Linked DNA regions of Notamacropus eugenii. The protein of the gene in region 1 interacts with the protein of each later gene in a biochemical or structural test. Links are inferred from orthologs where the notes say so. Each region holds a gene or a part of one and is shown in the gene's direction. Other genes may lie near its edges.

Evidence for each region. The genes of interacting proteins can lie anywhere in the genome.
Region 2: the proteins of TRIM72 (region 1) and UBE2H form a complex in vitro, tested with the Homo sapiens proteins (2 studies listed by BioGRID). The link is inferred for Notamacropus eugenii from reciprocal best matches to the Homo sapiens genes TRIM72 and UBE2H.

Annotation. Positions count from the first base shown.
Region 1 is NC_092874.1:319,201,631-319,211,900, forward strand, and holds the start of TRIM72 (tripartite motif-containing protein 72), read left to right. Parts: upstream 1-5,274; 5' UTR 5,275-5,392; intron 5,393-6,567; 5' UTR 6,568-6,575; coding exon 6,576-6,971; intron 6,972-8,749; exon of another isoform or gene 8,750-9,044; intron 9,045-9,944; exon of another isoform or gene 9,945-9,990; coding exon of another isoform or gene 9,991-9,995; intron 9,996-10,270. Other genes in the region: PYDC1 (pyrin domain-containing protein 1), read right to left, coding at 9,991-9,995. UniProt on the Homo sapiens protein: Muscle-specific E3 ubiquitin-protein ligase that plays a central role in cell membrane repair by nucleating the assembly of the repair machinery at injury sites.
Region 2 is NC_092874.1:120,221,027-120,231,324, forward strand, and holds the start of UBE2H (ubiquitin-conjugating enzyme E2 H), read left to right. Parts: upstream 1-5,664; 5' UTR 5,665-6,104; coding exon 6,105-6,157; intron 6,158-10,298. UniProt on the Homo sapiens protein: Accepts ubiquitin from the E1 complex and catalyzes its covalent attachment to other proteins. E2 ubiquitin conjugating enzyme that transfers ubiquitin to MAEA, a core component of the CTLH E3 ubiquitin-protein ligase complex.

The DNA of each region.
Region 1 (10,270 bases):
TCATATCCTTTGATATGTATCTATTGGGGAATGACTCTAGTTCTTATATGTGAGACTAAGCTTCTTATAAATCTTGGAAATGAGATTCTTATTGGAGAAACTTTCTGCAAGGACTTTTCCCAATTATCTGAAACCCCTTATTTTACTTAGGAGGAAACTTAGAACCAGAGACAATAAGTTACCTGCCTCAGGTCCCCTGGTTCCAAATCCAGGGCATTTTGTATTGTATCCCTGAGAAGTCAGCTATCTAATTCATATATAAACAAGACTGTCCTCTACAAAATTCAGAGAAGGAGACTCATAACTAGTTTGGAGCAATTAAGATTTTGTTCCAGGATGCCAAAATTTAGAAGATGCTAATATTGAAGTTCTTTTGCTGCCAGAAACAAAGGAACAAAAAACTGTGAACTTAGCACACAGTCAGCAAGAATAATTATTTTAAAAGGAAATAGTAAGAGACTGCTTTCTTTTACCACTCCTCTTACCTGTTGGTAGTACCACTGGTGAATTCCCAGCCCCTTGTTTGTCCATCTTTCCACCATGATGGCCTGGCAGAAATAGCTTCTTAGTATCTGGGCTCCACCAACGCACTCTATTCCCCAAAATAAATGGAAGGCATGTTTCAGGCTGCTAGACCCAGGTTTGAAAATTGCTAATTATAACTCTTCTGTAAAAGGAAATTCAGTGTGCCCTGGAAAACATCCAGTAATGGAGCATTCACTTCCTTATCAGTTAGTGCATTCTACTTTAGAATAGCTCTAATAGCTAGGAAGTTTTGTTTATGTTGAGCTCAAAAAAATCTTTGTGAAACTTATACCCATTGCTGTTGGGCTCAGGGATTATATTTCTAATGATCAGAATATATCTTTAATTCCTAGTGTAGATTAATAGAAAAATAAGGTTCACCTGGCACCAGCTTGCTTAACCACCAATTTTGCTGTTGTATGCTAAAATCTACTCACCACCATAAAGAAAGGAACAAAGCAAAATGAACTCAAATCAGTACTTTTTGCTCTAACATTTTGTAATTTTTATATTTTAAATCAATTCAATTTTAAGTCAACTAATATTTATTAAGCACCAACTACACACTAGGTACTTCACAAAATTTGACAAGCAACTATTAGGCACCAACTATGTCCAAGCCCCCCTGCCAGAGACATTAAGGAAAGAGAGAGAAGAAATAGATCCTGTCCTTATGGAGACTGTCATTTTAATTCTGTACAGCAAGGGTTACCTGAAACTTCCCACCCCATGCGTGCCCCTTGATGTCTCAGACTCCCACCGTCCTACATATAGCCTCCCAAAGAATCTTCCCAAACTGGTTTATTAGAAGGCTTTCCCTTTTTTTTTCCTTCTGGGCCTCTACTCTGGCATGCCCTCAGGCTGCCTGCTGACTTCTAGAGAACTCCCTCCCTTCCAGACTGATAATCAGAATAATTCCTTTCACATATCTAATACTTTATAGTTTAGAAAGCAATTTCACAACCAGTGGTTCCCTTTGATCCTCATCCTCCCTCATGTAGGCGGGACAGGTTCTATTTTATTGTTATTTTACAGATCATCTAGTGTGAAATTTGGGAATTGCCTATGACTATTGCTTCTTTCCCTTAGTAGGGAAAGGCCAGTTGTTAGATTGGAATGCAAATGTCATGTCAAGCAACCAAGGGATTTCCCAGTTGCATATGAGTTGATTCTGGGATCAAAACTGCTTGGACTACATAGGAGTTACAAGAATCAAAGGGATGACTGCATATGAAATCACTTCCTAAATTGTAAAGGGATAGCTGAACTCGGGAATGAGCTGGGTTTGGAACACACAGGCAGGGAAATTTCAAGTCAGCATTTTTGGAGGTAGAAGAATTTATGTTCTTGTAGGACCAGGAAGGTATTAGGTTGTGGTGTGAAACTGAGAAAATGACAGGCCAAGTCAAGCCTGGGGAGCTGTTGCTAAGCAGAGTAACTTAGACTGTCTGAAACTGGATAGTGCTTCTTCTAATAGTTTTTCTCTGGTACATGTGATTTCTGAATACATGTACACACATATATGCACATATACATATATGTATGTATACATACATGTGTGTATCTATGTATGTATGTATGTTTTTTCCTTGTGAAGAAACCCTAGAAAATTCACTTTTGTCATTTGGAGTATGTGGCAGCAAGGAGTTGAAGGGAAAGAAAGAGCAGATGCCAAGATAGGATCCAGTTTTAGAGGCACTGGTAGAAGGTTCATAAAGTTAGAACTGCAAGAGATTTTAGAGGCTAACCCCCTCATTTTACAGATGAGGACACTGAGGATGAGGAAGGTTAAATGACTTGCCCTAGCTTATACACCTAGTGTCTAGGGCAGGATTTGAACTTAGATCTTCCTATGAGCCCCATGCTCTATCTATTGTGTCATCTGGCACCTACCAGGTGGAATGCATTATATCTTTGCACTCAGGGAGTCGGTTGAGAGACCATGGCCTTGAGTTCAGGCTTAGTAATTAGGGAAAGCTTAGAATGTCATAGATTGTAGACTTGAAACTAGAAGGGGCCTTCAGGGTCATCTTATCCAACCCCCTCAATTTATGGACGAGGAACTGAGATCTGAAGGTTTCACAGGTAGTAAACCGCAGAATCAAGATATAAACCCTAGACCCCTGACTACAAATAGAGTAGTCTTTCCACCATACTATGAAGTAGTGAAAGCTGAAAGACCAGGGCCAAAGGATTAGGCCTCTTAGATCTAAGAGGAAGCTCGAATTTCTAAGACATTCACTCATTTCAGCAAGGCCTAAGGCCTGACTCTTTTAGAAAGGGAATATGATTTGTCCTAAGGTAAGTGCTAAAATTGGAATTAGAACCCAGGTCTCCTAATTCCCATCTCAGAGCTTTTTCTTTTACATCTTATTTCACTCTTCTGCCTTCCCTGGTTTCCTTTAAGATTCAGCTCAAACTCTACTGTTTGCAAGAGACCTTTCCCAGCCTCTCCTTCTCCTTTTCTCACCACCAATGCTAGTGACTTTCTTCTAAGATTATTTTTCACTTCTACTGTATATACCTTTTATGCCACCTCCCCCCCTTTTTTGTATTTGAACTTGAGAGCAGAGACCATATATCTGCTTTCCTTTGTATATCTAGTGCTCAGCACAGTGCCTGGTACATAAATACTTGTGGCTTGATTGCCATCTCCTTACTAAAGGAGGAACTGTGGATGGTCTTTAGAAAATAGTGAGGATACCACCCATAGGTGATCACCCTACCCCAGTCAGGGAAGAGCAAAGAACAGGGCAGGGGTAACCTGGTTCCAATTCAAAAACCATCAGACAAGCCATCTCCCTATACCACTCCCATTAATCTTCCAGTCAACCCAACTCCTCTCTTCTCAGGGTTTACCTTGAATTCTCCCTGTGAGAGAAGGCCTTGATAAATCTGTAGTTTTTTATTCTGGAATAGGACAGGAGCTGTTACCTACTTGTTCCTCTGTTGATTTAAAGGAATCCGTTGACCTCATGGGTCTTCTTTAGGTAAATAGTTTAAGGGAAAATCTTAAAAGGAGACAGAGAGAGAAAGGGTTACAAGACAGAATGAGGTAGAATAGGTATGAAGAGAAATATTAGTGAATGCCCTATCTGTAATCAAAGACCTGAAGAGTTCATCTGTTTAGTTTACTTTTCTTTAACCTTTGTGTGATTGTGTGTGTGTGTGTGTGTGTGTGTGTGTGTGTAGTAAAAGTTATTTTTGTCCTGAAATGACTCCAAGTGGAAACATAGCTTAAGTACAAAAGGAGGAAGTGACAAAGAGGTGAATTTAGCGTTGTAGTAAAGAAAAACTTTCTGCCAATTAGAGCTATCCAGATGTGGGATGGTTTGCTTTGGCAGTGGCAGAACCCCACGTTGTTTATCAAGTGCTTCATACATGTGCTGGGCTAAGCACAGGGGAGACAAAGAAAGTGGAAAACACAGTCAGTCCCTCCTCTCAGTGTGGGGTGGGGAGAAGGGGGCAATGACACACAAACCACTGTGTCCATACAGATTTCATGGAAGGATTATTCACTTCCATATAAAGAGATGGATTCAAAGTAGAGCTGAGGCATAGAGACAGGTGAGTATACGTATTTACGTTATATATGTGTATGTATGTATTTGACATGGCTAATATGGCCATTTATTTTGCTTGACCACAAATATTTGTAGTAAGTTTTGTTTTTCTTGCTTTCTCCATGGGAAGAGAATAGGCATTTATTAAGCTCCTATTGTGTGGTAGGTTGGGCAATTAGGTGTGCAGTGGATAAAGTTTTGGACTCAGGAAGACTCATTTTGCTAAGTTCATATCTAGCCTCAGACACTTAACTAGCCATGTAACCCTAGGCAAGTCACAGCATTGTGTTTCCCTTGGTTTCCTTGTGTGTAAAATGATCTGGAGAAGGAAATGGCAAACCATTCCAATATGGTTGCCAAGAAAACCCCAGGTGGGGTCTCAAAGAGTCAGACATGACTGAAAAATGACTGAATGACAACAAAATGTGCCAAACACCATGCTAAGCACTTTGCAAATATTATCTCGTTTAGTCCTCCTAACAACCCTAGAAGGTAGGTGTTATTATAATCCCCATTTTACAGTTGAGGTAACTGATGCAAAGAAGCATTAAGGGTCACATAGCTAGCAAGTGTCTAAGGCCAGAGTTGGACTGACGCCATGCCTATCACTCTATTCACTGTTTAACTGCCTCTCGTGGGAGGAAGTGGGAGAGGAAGAGGCCAAAGGGAGAGAATTTAGAACTGAAAAATAAAAATTGAATTAAAAAGACATGTGGAAGGTCTTCAAGAAGAGACTAGATGACGATTGGTTATGTCTGCTGTACAAGGAGTCCTTGCTCAAGTACGGCATAGACTCTGAGGTCCCTTCCAACTCAGATTCTGTGATTCTGTGAGACAGCTGGGATCTAGGTTGTAGTCAGGACTGGAGTCTAAGGACTCTGGACTGGGCTGGGCTCTGAACTTGGCTTGGATAATTAGTTGAACGATGAGGTACGCTTGACCCTGTAATGGACTGAGCTTTGGGCAGGAGTAGACTTTGGACTGTGTCTGCTTCTGGGTTAGCCTGAGAGTTGGGGGGAGGGGTAGAGAGGGGAGATGGCTAATTCCAGGAGAATTCTTTAGGCCTGACAGGAGGCTCTGACATGTGATGCCCCTCCTCCAGGCCCCCATCACGACCCAAATTTAGAACTAGTTGAACTGATGAGATGTAGCATGCCAAGATATATAAATATCACTCTGGGTTCCAGCAAAGTCAGAAAGGACTTGGACTGGACACTCACTTTGGGTCACTACTCCACGCTTTTGAATCCCCTTTCCCAACCCTACTTCACAACTTTGACCTCTGGCAGAAACCCTAAATCTTGGTAAGACGTTCTCTCATTCTGTTCCCAGTGGGGTTAAGGGGAGAGATATAGGGAATTGGAATAGAGAAGGAAGAGTTCTACTCTTTGGAACAGGAGAGAGTGGAGAAGGAAGGCCCAGGGAGTAGAAAGTCTGTGTTTTGAGAAAGGTGTGACAGAGGGAAAGAGGGAAGAAGTAAGAGCTTTGAACATTGGAAGAAGCAGGGGCTGAGGATGGGGTGGTCAAAAATTCTGGAATCTATGGGGTTGGGCTATTGAAGGAGTCACTCATTGTCTGTAAATGAGGGATGACCTTGGGATATGCAGTGACTTGAGAGAACTAAGTGTAGTTCACTGGAGGCCCTGAGTTTTTCGAGGAAGGGTGGATAGCAGGAGCAGGAGGTCTATAATCATGGGCCTTGGGGTAGTGGACAGTGAGACAAAGAGGAAAGCAGGAAGACTGGGAAGAAGGAGTATCTGATTCTGAATTGAGTCCTCTGGGGTGGAGGCCTGTGGCATTTGCTTTCTCCCTCCTTGGGTGGTGGTGACACTCACTGGTTTATGCATCTGTCAGGTCTATTTATAGAACTTGGCTCAGCTTCTGGTCTCATTCTTTGATGGGGAATGGGGATTTCTAGATCTGTGCAGGGGGAACACTGATGTTCCAAGCTGATATGATTTGATTGCTTCAATCTGAGCTGGCAAGACAGAACTTCCTGGGAACACCTAGGTCCTAGCTGGAGTGATGAAACCTCTATACATAGGTTGGGAGAATGAGTATACTCTGGTCTGAGCTAGAGAGATGGGAATATAGAGAGGAAGGAAAGAAATGAGCATTTATTAAGGCACTACTATGTGCCAAGCACTGTGCTAGATGGTTTACAAATATCTCATTTGATCCTCACAACAACTCTGGGAGGCTGGTGCTATTATTATCCCCATTTTACGGTTGTAGAAACTGAGGCAGAAGTTAAGTGACTTGCTCAGGGTCACACTGTCTGCAGATTTGAATGCAGTTTTTCCTGGATCTAGACCCAGTGTCCTATCCACTGTTCCACCTAGCTAATTAGAAGGGGGAGGGAGAGAGATGCTGGTGAACAGGGGGATAAGGATGCTTGGACTTCAACTGGGTACTTCAGAAATGCCAGTGGGCATCTCCAGAAGCACCTCTGACCTCTTCCTTCTTTACCTGTCCCCAGGTCCCATCATGTCGGGTGCTCCTGCCCTGATGCAGGGCATGTACCAGGATCTATCCTGCCCACTCTGCCTCAAGCTCTTTGATGCACCCATCACAGCTGAGTGTGGCCACAGCTTCTGCCGCAATTGCCTCCTTCGTCTGGTCCCGGATACTCAGGCTGGAACTGTGCTCTGCCCTTCCTGCCAGGCACCCACAAAACCCGATGGGCTCAGTACCAACCAACAGCTGGCACGGTTAGTGGAGAGCCTGGCTCAAGTGCCACAGGGCCATTGTGAGGAACATCTGGACCCCCTGAGTGTCTACTGTGAGCAGGACCGGGCACTGATATGTGGAGTGTGTGCCTCTCTGGGCAAGCACCGAGGTCACAGTGTGGTCACTGCTGCTGAGGCCCACCAGAGGATGAAGGTAACAGTGAGGGCTCTGGTCCAGGATCCCATCCCTAACCCAGCCCTATTCCTATGGCCTTCTTGTTGGTACTGAGGGAAGTATTTACCCTAGGGACTTTGGAGTGGGTACAAAAGGGAATATTCCCACAGGGCGTTGGATGGGGCATATTTGCCAGTAGGTCCTGAGTACAGAGAGGAACTCCTGGAATCTAGGGGACAGTTTTCATTTTGGGAGGGCTGCTGGGGTTTAAGCTTGGATGTATTGCCTAAGAGCTAACCTGGAGATGGGGGGGAAATACAGAAAATGTGTTGGGAAAATGACAAAGCCAGAGAGCATGGTAGAGTACAGGGTCTGAGTATCTGAATAACCTTCAGGATTTGGGGTAAAGTATTTTATCTTTTCTCCCTCCCTTCTTACTCCCCAGTCAATTACAAGACCTATCCTTGTTGAAGATCAGGAAATGACTTGAACAGGAATAGGGTTCTGATTAGAGAGGGGTTTGGAGGGTGGATCTATGGGCAAAGTTAGAGAAAAGAGTCTGACAACAGAAGCACTGGGACTCAAGGTCAGCGACATTGTGGCAATTGTAAGAAGTTGGGTATATGGGTAAATTCCATATGAAAAGTGTTAGACTATTAAGAAATATAGTAAGACTATGAAGAAGTAGTTTTGAATCTGAGTTTGAGGAAGAGAGCTTATGTATTCTTCAAATTACTTGGGCAGCTGGTGTCACAGTGGATAGAACTATGGACCTGGAGTCAGAAAGACCTGAATTCAAATCCAGCCTTAGATATTTACTAGCTTGTGATCCTGGGCAAATCGCTTCACCCAGATTGCCTCAGTTTCCTCATCTGTAAGATGAGCTGGAGAGGGAAATGGCAAACCATTCTAGTATCTTTGCCAAGAAAACCCCCAAATGGAGTCATGAAGAGTCAGACACAACTGAAGCAGCTGAACCAAATGCCTCAAATTACTTAGTTCAATAGAATTTAAATATTCCTTAACTTACTATGAGTAGCATAGTGTTGGGGACAAATTGAGTGAGTTATTCTAGATGGAGTAGGAAGGGAGAGATTGAAGAATGTTAAGTAAAAAATCCTGGGCAAAAAGTTTTAGGATGTTGAGAGTTTAACTTGGCACAAGAATTTCTCTGTATCCAAGCTCTCATTGTGAACGCCAGGAAGAGCCTGAATTGTGACTTCCTCTTCCCCCATGTCTTCCATGGCAGAGAGGAAACATTAAAAATCTCTGAAGTCTCTTCTGATGCAGAAAATCCTAAAGTGCCTCCTCTCTCTTCTTCCAGTCCGAGTTGAACCTCAAGTTGGGTTTAGGAAAAGTCACCTTTAGCAAGCAGCCTTTGCTTGTGCTAAATTTAAATTCTCTGCCTCCATACAGACACAAACAGAAAGTTTCTATGGAGAGAAGAATGTGTTGGGGGCTGGAGAATTTATGTCAGAGGCATGGCTGGTAGAAGGTGGGGTTGGATGTGGGTGATAGGGGCAAAGGGGTGAGGCTCTAGGTGTCAATCTTGGCACATTTTCAAAGGAGCAAATCTTGGGACCATAGGAAGTAGTTAAACCTGTATGCTATGATAGGGGCAGGCACAGGGGAGATGATTTACCCTCACAGATGTGGAGGGGACAGCACACACACACACACACACACACACACACACATACACACACACATACATGCAAGAATGTGTCCCTGTGCAGTCCACATGCTGTGTACACAGACACACTCGCAGTGTCAACTCTATGTGAATTTATCTACAAATAAGCACTGAGGCAGTCAGATTTTGGTGAATTTGAATGTATAAAAATGTAGGTACAAGTGGGTGAGGATGTCTGGCACAAAAATTGACTTTGTGGGGAGAGATAGAGCCAGAGAAAGGTCAGGGAACAGTTAGAAGCCCTTTGGTGTCAGTGATAAAAAGACTGCCCTGGGTCCTGGTAGTTGAAGCCCCATGCCTCAAAAAAACTGAAGAACCTCAAATTAGGGTTGGTGATGTCTTCAATCAGGATTCGTTGGTCTACTTCTATGGGTCCAGTGATGAAGATCAATCAGCCGTGGTCCATGATGTATATAGTCCTGGGGGCAAAGTGGAGATAAGAGAGACCAGGTGAGAAGGTAGCTAGTTGGGGAGGTAGTAACAGAATAGAATGCTGACTGTCATACAAAAAGTGAAGCCTTTGACCAGGAAAGGTCCTTCCTTCCATCTTGTCTATCACCAATCTATATCTGTATTACATCTGACCCTTTCTCTCCATGTTCAGTGCCACTGCCTTAGCTCCAATCCTCATCATTCTTTGCCTAAATTATTGCATAAGTCTCAGCTGGGTTTTCTAGCTTCAAAATTCTGCTCCACTCCTCCCTCCCTCCCCCACTAGGAGACAGTAAAATAGAGCATCAGACTTGGAGGTAGGACAACCTTTGTTCGAATCTTGCCTTAGATGCTTACTAGCCATGTGACCTTAAGCCTCAGGTTCTTTATAAAATGGAGATAACAGCTGTACCACCCTAACTCATGCATTGTAGTGAGTGGGGTGTTTTGTAGACTTGAAGTGCTATGTATTTGGTGGTTATTTATTATCATTCCTTATTAAGGTATGTTGCAGATCCAACTCCTCCCAAAGAAACTCCCTCTTCTAGTAAGATCAGGCGCAGGGAAGTTCCATGTTCCTGGTATTCTCCCAGTACGCATCCAGTTTAGCCCTAGCCCAAGTCCAAGCTCCCGAGGAACCTTCCCTCATTGGAGATGGCTAATCAGCCAATCTGTTCCCTCCTGTTTTCCCTCCCTCTTCACGGTCCAGGACAGGCTGCACATAAGTGCCCAGATGGTGTCCTAGTATCGTTCTCACACTAGATGTCTAGGCTCTTACTATGACCCCTGAAGAGTGCCAGACTTATGCTTTCCTCTTCTCCTACCTGCCACACTCTGCCCTGGGGTACACAGTAGGCACTTTTCACACCACTTTTCACATCACTTACCTGATGAGGGCCTCCCAGAAGTGCTTCTCTCTGTCAGTGCTGAGCCTCAGACTGTAATGAGAGAAGGGAATGAGAAAGAGGTGTCTCATCATCCTCCCATCCCTAGGATGAAACTCCCTTTGGGTCTTAGAAGACTTCTCACAGTTAGCTATACTGCTTGGGGCGGGTGTGTTAGGGGAGGGTTTGAGGAAAAGAAATGGTATGTGACTGTGGGGGCAGGAAGCTGTATGGAAGCTGGGGTCAGGACTCAGGTTCCGGTTAGGAGCAAGGCACGGGATGGGTCAAGGTTAAGGTCTCAGTTCTCAAACACAAAAAGAGCAGGGGAC
Region 2 (10,298 bases), about 200 Mb from region 1:
AGAGAAAATGGATATTTTTATATTTTTGTAAGGAGGAATTTATCACAAAGGGATGAAATAGGTAACATTCTTTATTTCCCCCATTCCTTTTACCCTCATGGGCACTTTAAATTGTGTCTTGAGATCTTTTCTTCCTATGAATTTGTTGATATTAAGCTGGTAAGGGCAACTAGGTGGTGCAGTGGATAGAGCACCAGTGCAGGAGTCAGGAGGACCTGAGTTCAAATCTCACCTCAGACACTTGACACTCACTAGCTGTATGACCTTGGGCAAGTCACTTAACCTCAATTGTATCATCCTGGGCCGTCTCCAGTCATCCTGATGAATATCTGGTCACTGGATTCACATGGCTCTGGAGGAGAAGTGAGGCTGGTGACCTGCACAGCCCTCCCTAACTCAAAACAAAGTCAAGTGCTAGTCATGTCATTATTTCTCTGATGGCATGGTCTTCTTCGGCAACAAAGGATGAACACACATTAAGCTGGTCAAGTTTCATTTGAAACAGAATCCTTGTCTCTGAGGAGGACTCATCTAACAGGGTTTGTTTCCCTAGGTACTGATTGTATTTTGCATAGATTAACTCCTCTACCCTTTTAACACAGAAGAGGGAAACTGAGGCAGAGTCAAGTGATAGCACAAAGTTTGTTTATTGAAAGAGATAAGCACCAAGTCCTGCCTGATTCTCAGTGAAGTGGGTTAGCTGAGATCATGCTTTTCTATTCCATTCTTATCTCCTTCTAATAAGGTTCTCAAAGATGGGGAGACAAATTCTTTCACTGGGATATACTTTCATTTAAAGAGGCTTTCTGTGTATGTAGTAAAAGTCAAAATAAAAGCTAAGAATTCTTGTGCCTAGGGCAGATTGAGTTTGGGGAATGGGGAGTGGCATATTCAGAGCACAGTCCAACCATGGCAGAGTTGTACAAGGAAATGGGGCACCCTATTACCCCAAGAATCTGGTCTGTATCTCTACAGGGTTTGGGGAAAATGTGGGACTTGGAAGAGGATCAACATAGCAATGGGACTCTAGAGGAGGTGGCCTGGGAGTGATTGTGGTATATGGTAGGGTAGGCTGGTGGAGGCCTAAGATGGGAAGTATGTGTTCATCCTTCATTGACAAAGAAGACCATGCCATCAGAGAAATAATGACATGACTTGCACTTGACTTTGTTTTGAGTTAGGGAGGGCTGTGCAAGGTCACCAGCCTCACTTCTCCTCCAGAGCCATGTGAATCCAGTGACCAGATATTCATCAGGATGACTGGAGATGACCCAGGATGAGGCAACTGGGGTTAGGTGACTTGTCCAAGGTCACACAGCTAGTGAGTGTCAAGTGTCTGAGGTGAGATTTGAACTCAGGTCCTCCTGACTCCTGCGCTGGTGCTGTATCCACTGCACCACCTAGCTGCCCCAAGATGGGAAGTAGTGCTCGCCTCAAGGAGGAAATATACTCAACTAGGAAGGAAATATGCTGTGCCTTGGCTGCCCCATGCTAGTTACAGCTTTGGTTAAGAGTATTTAAAAATAACAGTTTACCTCTATTGAGAGAAGTTGAGAGAGCCAACCTCTATGAGACATGGGATGGTAGGAGTGTGCATGGTCAACTCCTGGATGAGAGAGCCCATATTACATGTTAAAGTTTAGGGTGGGGTTGGGATTAGAGAGCAAACAATAATTTCCTAATCTATCCGGTTGACCTCAAGTCCCTCATCCTCCTTCTATAATCAGTCTTTAGTGCTGCACTCAGTAAGTATAATGAAAAAATAGCAATATAACAGATATAAAATTCTTACCCTTTCCTACTAACAGGCCTAGGACCTTAACTAGGTAACCTGACTCCCCCCAAATGAGATCAAGCTTTCCTCACACTCCCCAACCAATGCCCTCAGAATAGAACTGTAGGCAAAAACCTCTACAACAAAGCTTGAGGTTCGTGTCATCTCCAGAGTCTCCCCCAAAAGAATTAGCAATGTCCCTTTTACTGGATGTAAAAAATAGATCAGTTATAGGATAGCTATTGATTTCCTCCATCATGGAAGAAATGTTTAAACTACAAACTTAAGAACACACATTGACAAATACTTAAAACATACAATAGCAACCAATTATTCCTAATGATACTTTCCTAAGAGGTTAGATACTTCAAGATTTGCTCACATTTCTTTCCACTTCAATCTCTACACAGCAACCAATATCCAACACCACCCCACATCCACCAATCAATTCTGTTGTCTTTCTATTCCTTCTATGATCAAATATAAATTTTTTAAAATTTAAAGTTCTTTACAACCTGTTCCTATTCCACCTTTCCAGCCCTACATCTCCTCCACAGAATATGTAGTCTGGTCAAACTGGTCCTCTCCCTCTTTCTTGCACATCACACACAACTTCTCATCTCCATGCCTTTAAACTATCTTCTTATGGGTAATGTACACACCCTTCTCACCCCACAATTTCTAGGAATCACTGCTTTCCTTCAAAACTCAGGTTAAGCATCATCACATTCTGCATGAGGCCTTTCTTTATCCTTCTGTTAGTGTGCCTCCTTTCAAAGGTTATTCTGTATCTGTTTTGTATCTGATTCTAAACATTTACATGTAAGTGTGTACAGCCATATTTTACTCCCCAAGAGAATATGCTCCTTGAGGTCAGATACTGATTTTATTTTTGTCCTTATATCTCCAGCCCCTAGCTAGTGCCTGCCACACAACAAGAACTTAATAAACCCTTGCTGGTTGATTCATGAGTCATTTCCTTCAAGGAACTTATCCCTCAAGGAGGATAAGACACCAGTATGGATAGATAACTCTAGTATACAATATTCCCTAAGTGATTTGGAGAGCTGCAAAGCAAAGTGCTATATGAGGTCCTGGGGGAAGACTATTATTGACTGGGAGGACTGGGCAGGCTTTTTGAATAAGGTAGTGTCTGCGCTTTGTTTTAAAGGGCAGGTAGGAGGTAAACAGGTGAAGATAGGGAAGGAGGAATCTCTAGATTTAGAGAAGAGCTTTAGCTCAGGTATAGAGGCATGACAATATGACTTGTATTCAGAGGTACAGTTATCCAGTTTGACTGCAATATAGCAGGCAAGAGATGAGGCTGGAAATGTAGAGGGGCCACTAAGTTGAGTGACTCTTCCAGACAGAGATGTAAAGTTTGAACTTCATTATGGAGGCAATATAGTGTTCCTGATGAATTTTAGAAGTGCAACATTTCTAGGTCTATGGATAAAAAAGATTATTCTGGTAGCGCTGTGAAGGATGAATTGGAGAGGCATAGTGTGGAAGCAAAATAAATACAAGGCAATTTTTTTGGTGGGTAGGCATCCGCAACTGGGGAGTCAGGAAAGGTCATATGTAGGAGGTCACATCTGAATTGAATTTTGAAGCTTGAATTCTAAGAGGCAGAAGTGAGGAGAATGTACATTATTTTATATACATCCTGTATATACTTATTTTGTTCAGACATATTTTATATATACCTATATGTGCATGTATTGTGTCCTCCTATAGAATATAAGATCCTTGAAGCCAGGGATGGTTTCATTTTTGTCTTTTTATCTTTATCTAGTATCTGCAACAGTGGCATGGTCAATCCACAAGCATCTATAAAATGTGTAATAAGTGCTAGGGATACAAAGAAATAGCAAAGTCCCTTCCTTCTAGGAGTTTATATTCTATTTTGGGAGAAAAGAGGTACATAAAGAGGTACATATAAGATACTAACAAAGAAGATACAAGGTAACCTGAAAGGGAAAAACAGCATAAGCTAAGAAAAGCCACTGGAAGAAGGTAGCATTTGAGCTGAATCTTGAAGGAAGCCATTCTTTCAAAATAATTGAACAAAGCTATAATAGGAGGCCTGATGTCTTCTCTTTTTCCATTTACACATTCTGCTTTTCTTCAATCAAACTTCATATGACATGCTGTCAAGCATTTCTGTCATCCTGGCTGCCCTCCTCAGGACACTCTCCAGCTGATTAATGTCCCTCCCCGTCTATTCCCATTACAACTCCCCCAAAGACAGGGACTTGGCTATTTCTTTGTATCCTCAGCACTTACTACACATTTTATAGATGCTTGTGGATTGATCATGCCACTGTTGCAAATGCTAGAGATAAAAAGACAAAAATGAAACCATCCCTGCCTTCAAGAAACTTACATTCTACAGGAGGACACAACATATTTACATATAGGCATATACAAAATATGTTTGTACAAAACAGGTATATACAAAATGTATACAAAATAAATACAAGGTAATCATTTTTGTTTGGGGAGGGAGGGCATAAGGCAACCAGGGGATCAGGAAAGGCCAATTGACAAGAGGTGACATCTGAATTGAACTTCGAATTTGAGTTTAAGAGGCAGAAATGAGAAGAATATATATTCTAGTCATGGGGACAGCTTGGCATTGTAGGAAATGAAATCTCATATATAGGAACTGTAAAAAAGTCAGTTTGACAGGGCCAAAGAATAATGTAGCACATGTTTCTTTAGACTTGGCTAAGTTGGACAAGGCCAGTTGGAGATGAAAAGAATTACAATGGTGTTAATTAAGGAGAAGCAACAGCCCTACAGTTATGTGCTGGCTTTCATGCTTTTAGCTGGTTGTCACTAAACATTTATCAAGCTACCAAATGTTCCAGAGACTGTGCTGTTAAGTACAAAGGAAGGCAAAAGACAGTCCTGGCTCTCAAGGAGCTCAGTCTAGTGGAGGAGATAGCATGAAAAGAACTACGTATAAACAAGATATAGATATCCGACACATTGGCGATCACCAGCACAAGGAAGACACTAGCAAAGCACTTATTAAACCTCTGTTGAATACTACTATTGCAAAACCAATAACTTTTCAAAGTAGGAGCAGAATGTAGACAGTCTGTTGCTGTGAGAGCCCTCTTTATTTTATGAGGCTATATGCACACATGCCTATATGTACATATGTTTATGTATACACATATATATGTATATTCACATACACAGGCACAAAACTGTGTAGATGTATATTTACACAATACACGTTTATACATGTAGATGTGTATTTTCCATTTATACAACACACTTTTCCTAGACCCAATCCATACTTTACATACATATGTGCACATGTATACTTACATGCATGCACTTTACATAATATATGCATGTATATTTAAATCTATGCAGTATGTATTTTACATGTGCATCTGTAACACATACACATATCTCTTTGCAAATCTTAAAGCAGTATACCAATATTAGATGTTTTTCTGCTAATGATTGCCCCACTGGCCAAATTCCAAGAGAGGTTAACCTCAAATTACTTTTGCTTATAGAGCCCTGGAAATTAACAAGCAGACTATATATGAAGCATTCTCAACTCTTCAAAATAGACAACCAAATAAAAACTAAAGCTATCATTAGCGTTGTCATTATAATTAACTATTGTTGTTGTTAAGATGATGACGACAGGAGTGGTTGGAGGGGTGGGGAGGGAAAGGGAGGAGGAGGAAGAGGAGGAGGAGGAAAAGGCCCGTGGAACTGGAAGGCAAGCCAGGGTAAAAAGCGGAACTACAACTCCCAAAAGGCCCTAGGAAATTGCGCGCCGCCGCGGTGACCCTCCCCTTTCGGTGGCCGAGCCGGGGCCCCGCCCCTTGGGTGACGTCACTGAGAGGTGACGTCACGGCGCTCAGAGCGAGGCTTCGGTAGAGAAGCAGCCGCCGGAGCTGGAGTCGCCGCTGGTGGCGGAGGCTGCGAGAGAGCGAGCCAGGGAGGGAGGGGGGGAAGCGGAGCGGAGCGCGGAGCAGCGCGGCGCTGCGCGGAGAGACCGAAGCCGGGACCGGAGCCAGGGCCGGGGCAGCAGCTGCGGAGCCGACGACCCCAGAGAGACAGAGCCGGGAAGCCCGGGGCGCTCCCCCAGCCCCCCCAGCCGTACGGTGCCTGGTGTCTCCCCCCGCCTCCCCTCCCGGGGGGAGGAGGAAGAGGCGGCGGCGGCGGACCGGACCTCGGGGTGTCGCCGCCCCCACAGGAGGAGCCGGGCCGGCCGCGGGCTCCACAGCGCCGGGGCCCGGGGCCCGTGACAGACGGGCCTAGGAAGGGAAGAGGCGGCGGCGGCGCAGGCGACACCATGTCATCCCCCAGCCCGGGCAAGAGGCGGATGGACACGGACGTGGTCAAGCTGTATCCTTCGTGGCCGTGGGGGGGGGGGAGCTGTCTGCGTGTGCGTCTGTGTGTAGTGGTCCGGGGGACGTGGGGTGGTGACGCCTACCGCCCCCCCCTCCCCCGGCCTTCCCTCCCCGGGACCCCCCCAGGGCCCTGGGGCACTGCCCCCCCATCCGTGACTCCCCTCCCCCCTGCCCGGGGCTCGTCCTCAGCACCTCCCAGTCCCTTTCATCGCCTCCATTAACTGCAGCCCCTCCAAATTCGCGTTGCTCCCCCTCTCCTGCACCCCCTCCGTAGCCATGATCTCACCTCTACAGTTTTTAAACCTCCGAAGACCGGCTTTTTCTCGTGGGACTAGGTGGGCTTTTTGCTTATTTCCCCCAGCTACTTAAGCCCACCCTACAGGTCTTCCCTCTCTTCTCTCTCAGCTGTATAATTTAGGGACCCTAGGTGGGAATATCCCAGGATAGTTCCTTTCTCTTTTCAGTAAAGTCCCCCCCCAATCCCTACCCAGAGTATTGGTAAGCTAGGGCGACCAAATAGCCCCTTTCCTTCTTTATTCCCACTTATTTGCTGTATTAGTAGGAAGAGGCAAGCAGGACTCAGTTCTATCCAGTGTCCTCTAACTCCCCCCCCCCAATTAGAAATCACCCTTTACATACTTGTCAGGCACCCCTTCTCGGTTTCAGCTTTGCTGCCTGCTTCTGACAAAGCATACCTTATAGACTAAGTCCTGTAAAGAGAGGGACCTCTGTGACTGTAGCCAAACACCCTCCTCTGCCAGTATATGTGACACTGAGAAGAGAGAATGGGGAGCACTTACCCCCCAAAACCCCACTGCTCACTACAGGGAAACCCCTCAACAGCATGAGATTAGGGTTTTGAGGAATACCTGCCCCTTTCTTCTCAAATAATAACCTTCTTTACACTCTCCTCTAATACACTTGATCTATATTATTGGGGGTGACAGTGGAGAGATTGGATTGTATTTGGGAAGAATACTGCAGACCGGGCTTTTGTAGTGGTGGTTGGTTATTATTATTTACTTAATGACTTCAGCCACAGAGAAATTCCCGAAGGTTCCCGGGACAAATCCAGGGTTTTGTATTGTTTTTTTTTTGTTTTTTTTAAAGGGTGATTTAGAGGTTGTGGGGGATGGAGGAAACGAGCCAAGCGACCTGTCCCTGGGGGAAAATGGGGGTAAAATGTAGTTGAAAAGTCCAGTTTACCTTCTTTTCCCTCCCCTCCCCACCTCTCCTCCTCTTCCCCCCTGTTGCAGGGTTTTGTTTATATAACAAGTAGTTTGGCTGGATTCTCCTGAAGAATTCTTTCATTTATTTATTTATTTATTCATTACTATTTTTGATTGGATGATTTATCTCTTTTGTAAAGGGTGGGTAATACTATTGAATATTCAGTCAAACAAACTTGACAGAGTTTTAAAGTAGTATTAAAATTTTTGGTTTGCAGGTGGGGGATGGGTAGATGTTTGTCAAATTCAGAGATTATTCTTAATGTTTTTAGAAACAAGAAGGTGGCTTTCCCTACCCCACCCTGGAGAACTTGCTAGGGATTAGCTGCTGGAGATATTGAAGTTTGGGCCTGAGTTTTTATTTTTTGGGGAATGTGTGAGAGATAAGACAAAGAGAAAGGCGTATGTATGAACGAATGAAATTGTTTCTAGGGAAAAGGTAAACCAAGACGTTGTTTTATGTACTGTTCCTTAGGTAAGGTTGAGTGTGTGTAATGGATAATAGCAGTTGTGTTAGTGGCTTTTCATAAGACTGTAGCAAAACTTGTAACTGTGGATATGTGTGTATTTAGACAAAGCAGCTTCAGATTCTAGTCTTGTTTAGAAAATAGGAAATGACACTGATTGTGGCAGAACCTGAGTTATTTTTATCCTGGATTTAGTGTTACTGTCAAACCAATGCAAATTTTCAGCTAGTGTTTCATTTATTCCAGGGGAAAGAACTCTAGCTGTTATTTTAAACAATATCATATTCTTCAAATATATACATATGTGTTTTTAAAAGGTTGAGAATAAGGGGTGAGGCCCAACTTGACCTGAGCCCTTCCCAAGACTGCTCCTTTTGTTCACTTAGTTGTGGCATCTAGAAAGATTACCGCATTTAGGAGTAGGGGCATCTGTGGAGGGGAGGTGGTAGAGACAAAGAAGGGCAGGGTGATTTTTTTTCCCCTAAGTGGCTTTATTTCGTAGCTTATTTTTAGTACATGATGAAGAAAGACAAAGATACATTGGCTTCCTGTTCATTCCCCACCTTCACTCTTCTGACAAAAGAAAGCAGAGGTGCTTTTAAATCACAGGTCTCTTGTATAATAGTCCTGGGGATTTAAAAGCAAGGGATTGTCTTTGCTACGTGTTTGTTTTCTCCTCCTAACATAAACGTCATGATTGAGAAGTTTATATTTTTCAGATGCCTTTGTAGGTTTTCCTCCTTGTCTTTTTGCGTGTTTTGTGGCCTGCTTTCTCTGATTAAATGAGATCAGTAGGCCTGAATTGAGCCATCACTTTTTGAATATAACTAATGTACTCATATATTTAGCTGACATAAAATAAGCCCTGTACTAAAATAAGTGAAATGATGTGGAAAGGAAAGAGAGGGTGTTGAAAATAAGACAGTGAGTGAGGAAGTAGAAAAAATAGATCTGAAGGAATGTACGTGCTTGTTACTCCCACTGGCCCTTAATTTCTTGGGTTTATGCTTTCTACCATTTTCTTAGCAATCTCTTGTTTCAGCCCATTTTTGGATGTGTTCTGGGCGTAATTATGCCACCAGGATTTACAGCCTGGCAGGGAACCTATACACTACTAAAGTGACAGGGTGTGGGGGTAGGGAGAGAAGAGGATGGACGTGTAACTCATGCCCCTGCTTTCCATGGCTTGGACAGGTTCATCAGAGACAGTGGCCTCTATTAGTTGAAGTCAGTGATCTTTCTTTTGTGACTGGGTTGTTGGTAGGAGGAGGTCAGACTTCCAAGTTATTTGAGGAGTGAATGTTTTGCACCGATGCACTGAAATAATTTGCTGGTTGATTATGTTCTGAAACTCTGACTCATTCATTGTTTCTCTACTGGTTGTTGTGCAAACCTTCTTCTATAGCCTAAAACCAATTTAAATTGCTTCTTAGCACTGTGGGGATGTTGTCCTGTCCTAGCACTTGCCTTCGCCTACTAGGAGTGCCTTTGAGTGTGTGAAGGTGGGAAGAGGAAGGGCGCTTTATCCAGTCAGCCCAGTGGAGGCTTTTCTGGGTCAGAACTGGAGCGTTGCTTTTTAAATTTCAGTTTTAAATCTAGCTGATTATTTTGATTATACTGGAAGTCGTGCTCTTTGGTACTTAAACCTACGATTTGCGCTTAAGAAATAACCTGTTAAATTTTCCCCTGGTGGAGGAACAAATTGCTCGGATTACACCAAGGTCCCTTGACCGTCTGAGTTTTTTCACTGTCCTACCCTGTTGCACAGTCTTTCTGATCCTTTTATCTGTGAACCAGAGGCCCCAGCTAAATGCCGGAGCTGCTTGTTTTGGGGAAGCGTCTGCAGGCGAAAGGCCGCAGGCACAGCTCCCCTTGGCTCATTGGCTGTTCTGTTACTACCCGGAAACTGAGCAGTGGGCGGAGCTGCCCAAACAGCTGATAGAGTGTGACCAGAGTGTGTTTGTATACAAAAGAGAGGGGGTTGGGGGAGCCTAGAGAAGGACTTAAAAAACATAAAACTGGAGAATCAGAAGTCAGTAAGTAATCGCTAGAATAAAGAATACTTGTAAGGAATAGGTAAGTGGGCATCTCATATGTCACAGTATTTGTACTTTAGGTGAATATATTCAGAAAGTTTGTGAGTTATCAGATTACAGGATCATAGATCTAGAATTGGAAGAGGAACTCCAGAGGCCATTGAATCCAACCTCCTTCATTTTACCAACGGGAAATTGAGGCTCCAGGGAGGTTAAGTGACATGTTTAAAGTCACACAGAGAGTAGATGTCAAAGGATTATTTGAACCCAAGGCCTTTGACTCCAGAGCTGGAGCTCTTTTCTGATAGTAGTTTGTGGGGAGTTATGAAGTATTTTATGTAGGGATTTCTCTTGGCATAACTAAAGGTGATTAGAAACAAAATTTTTGTGGCAATTTTGAGAGC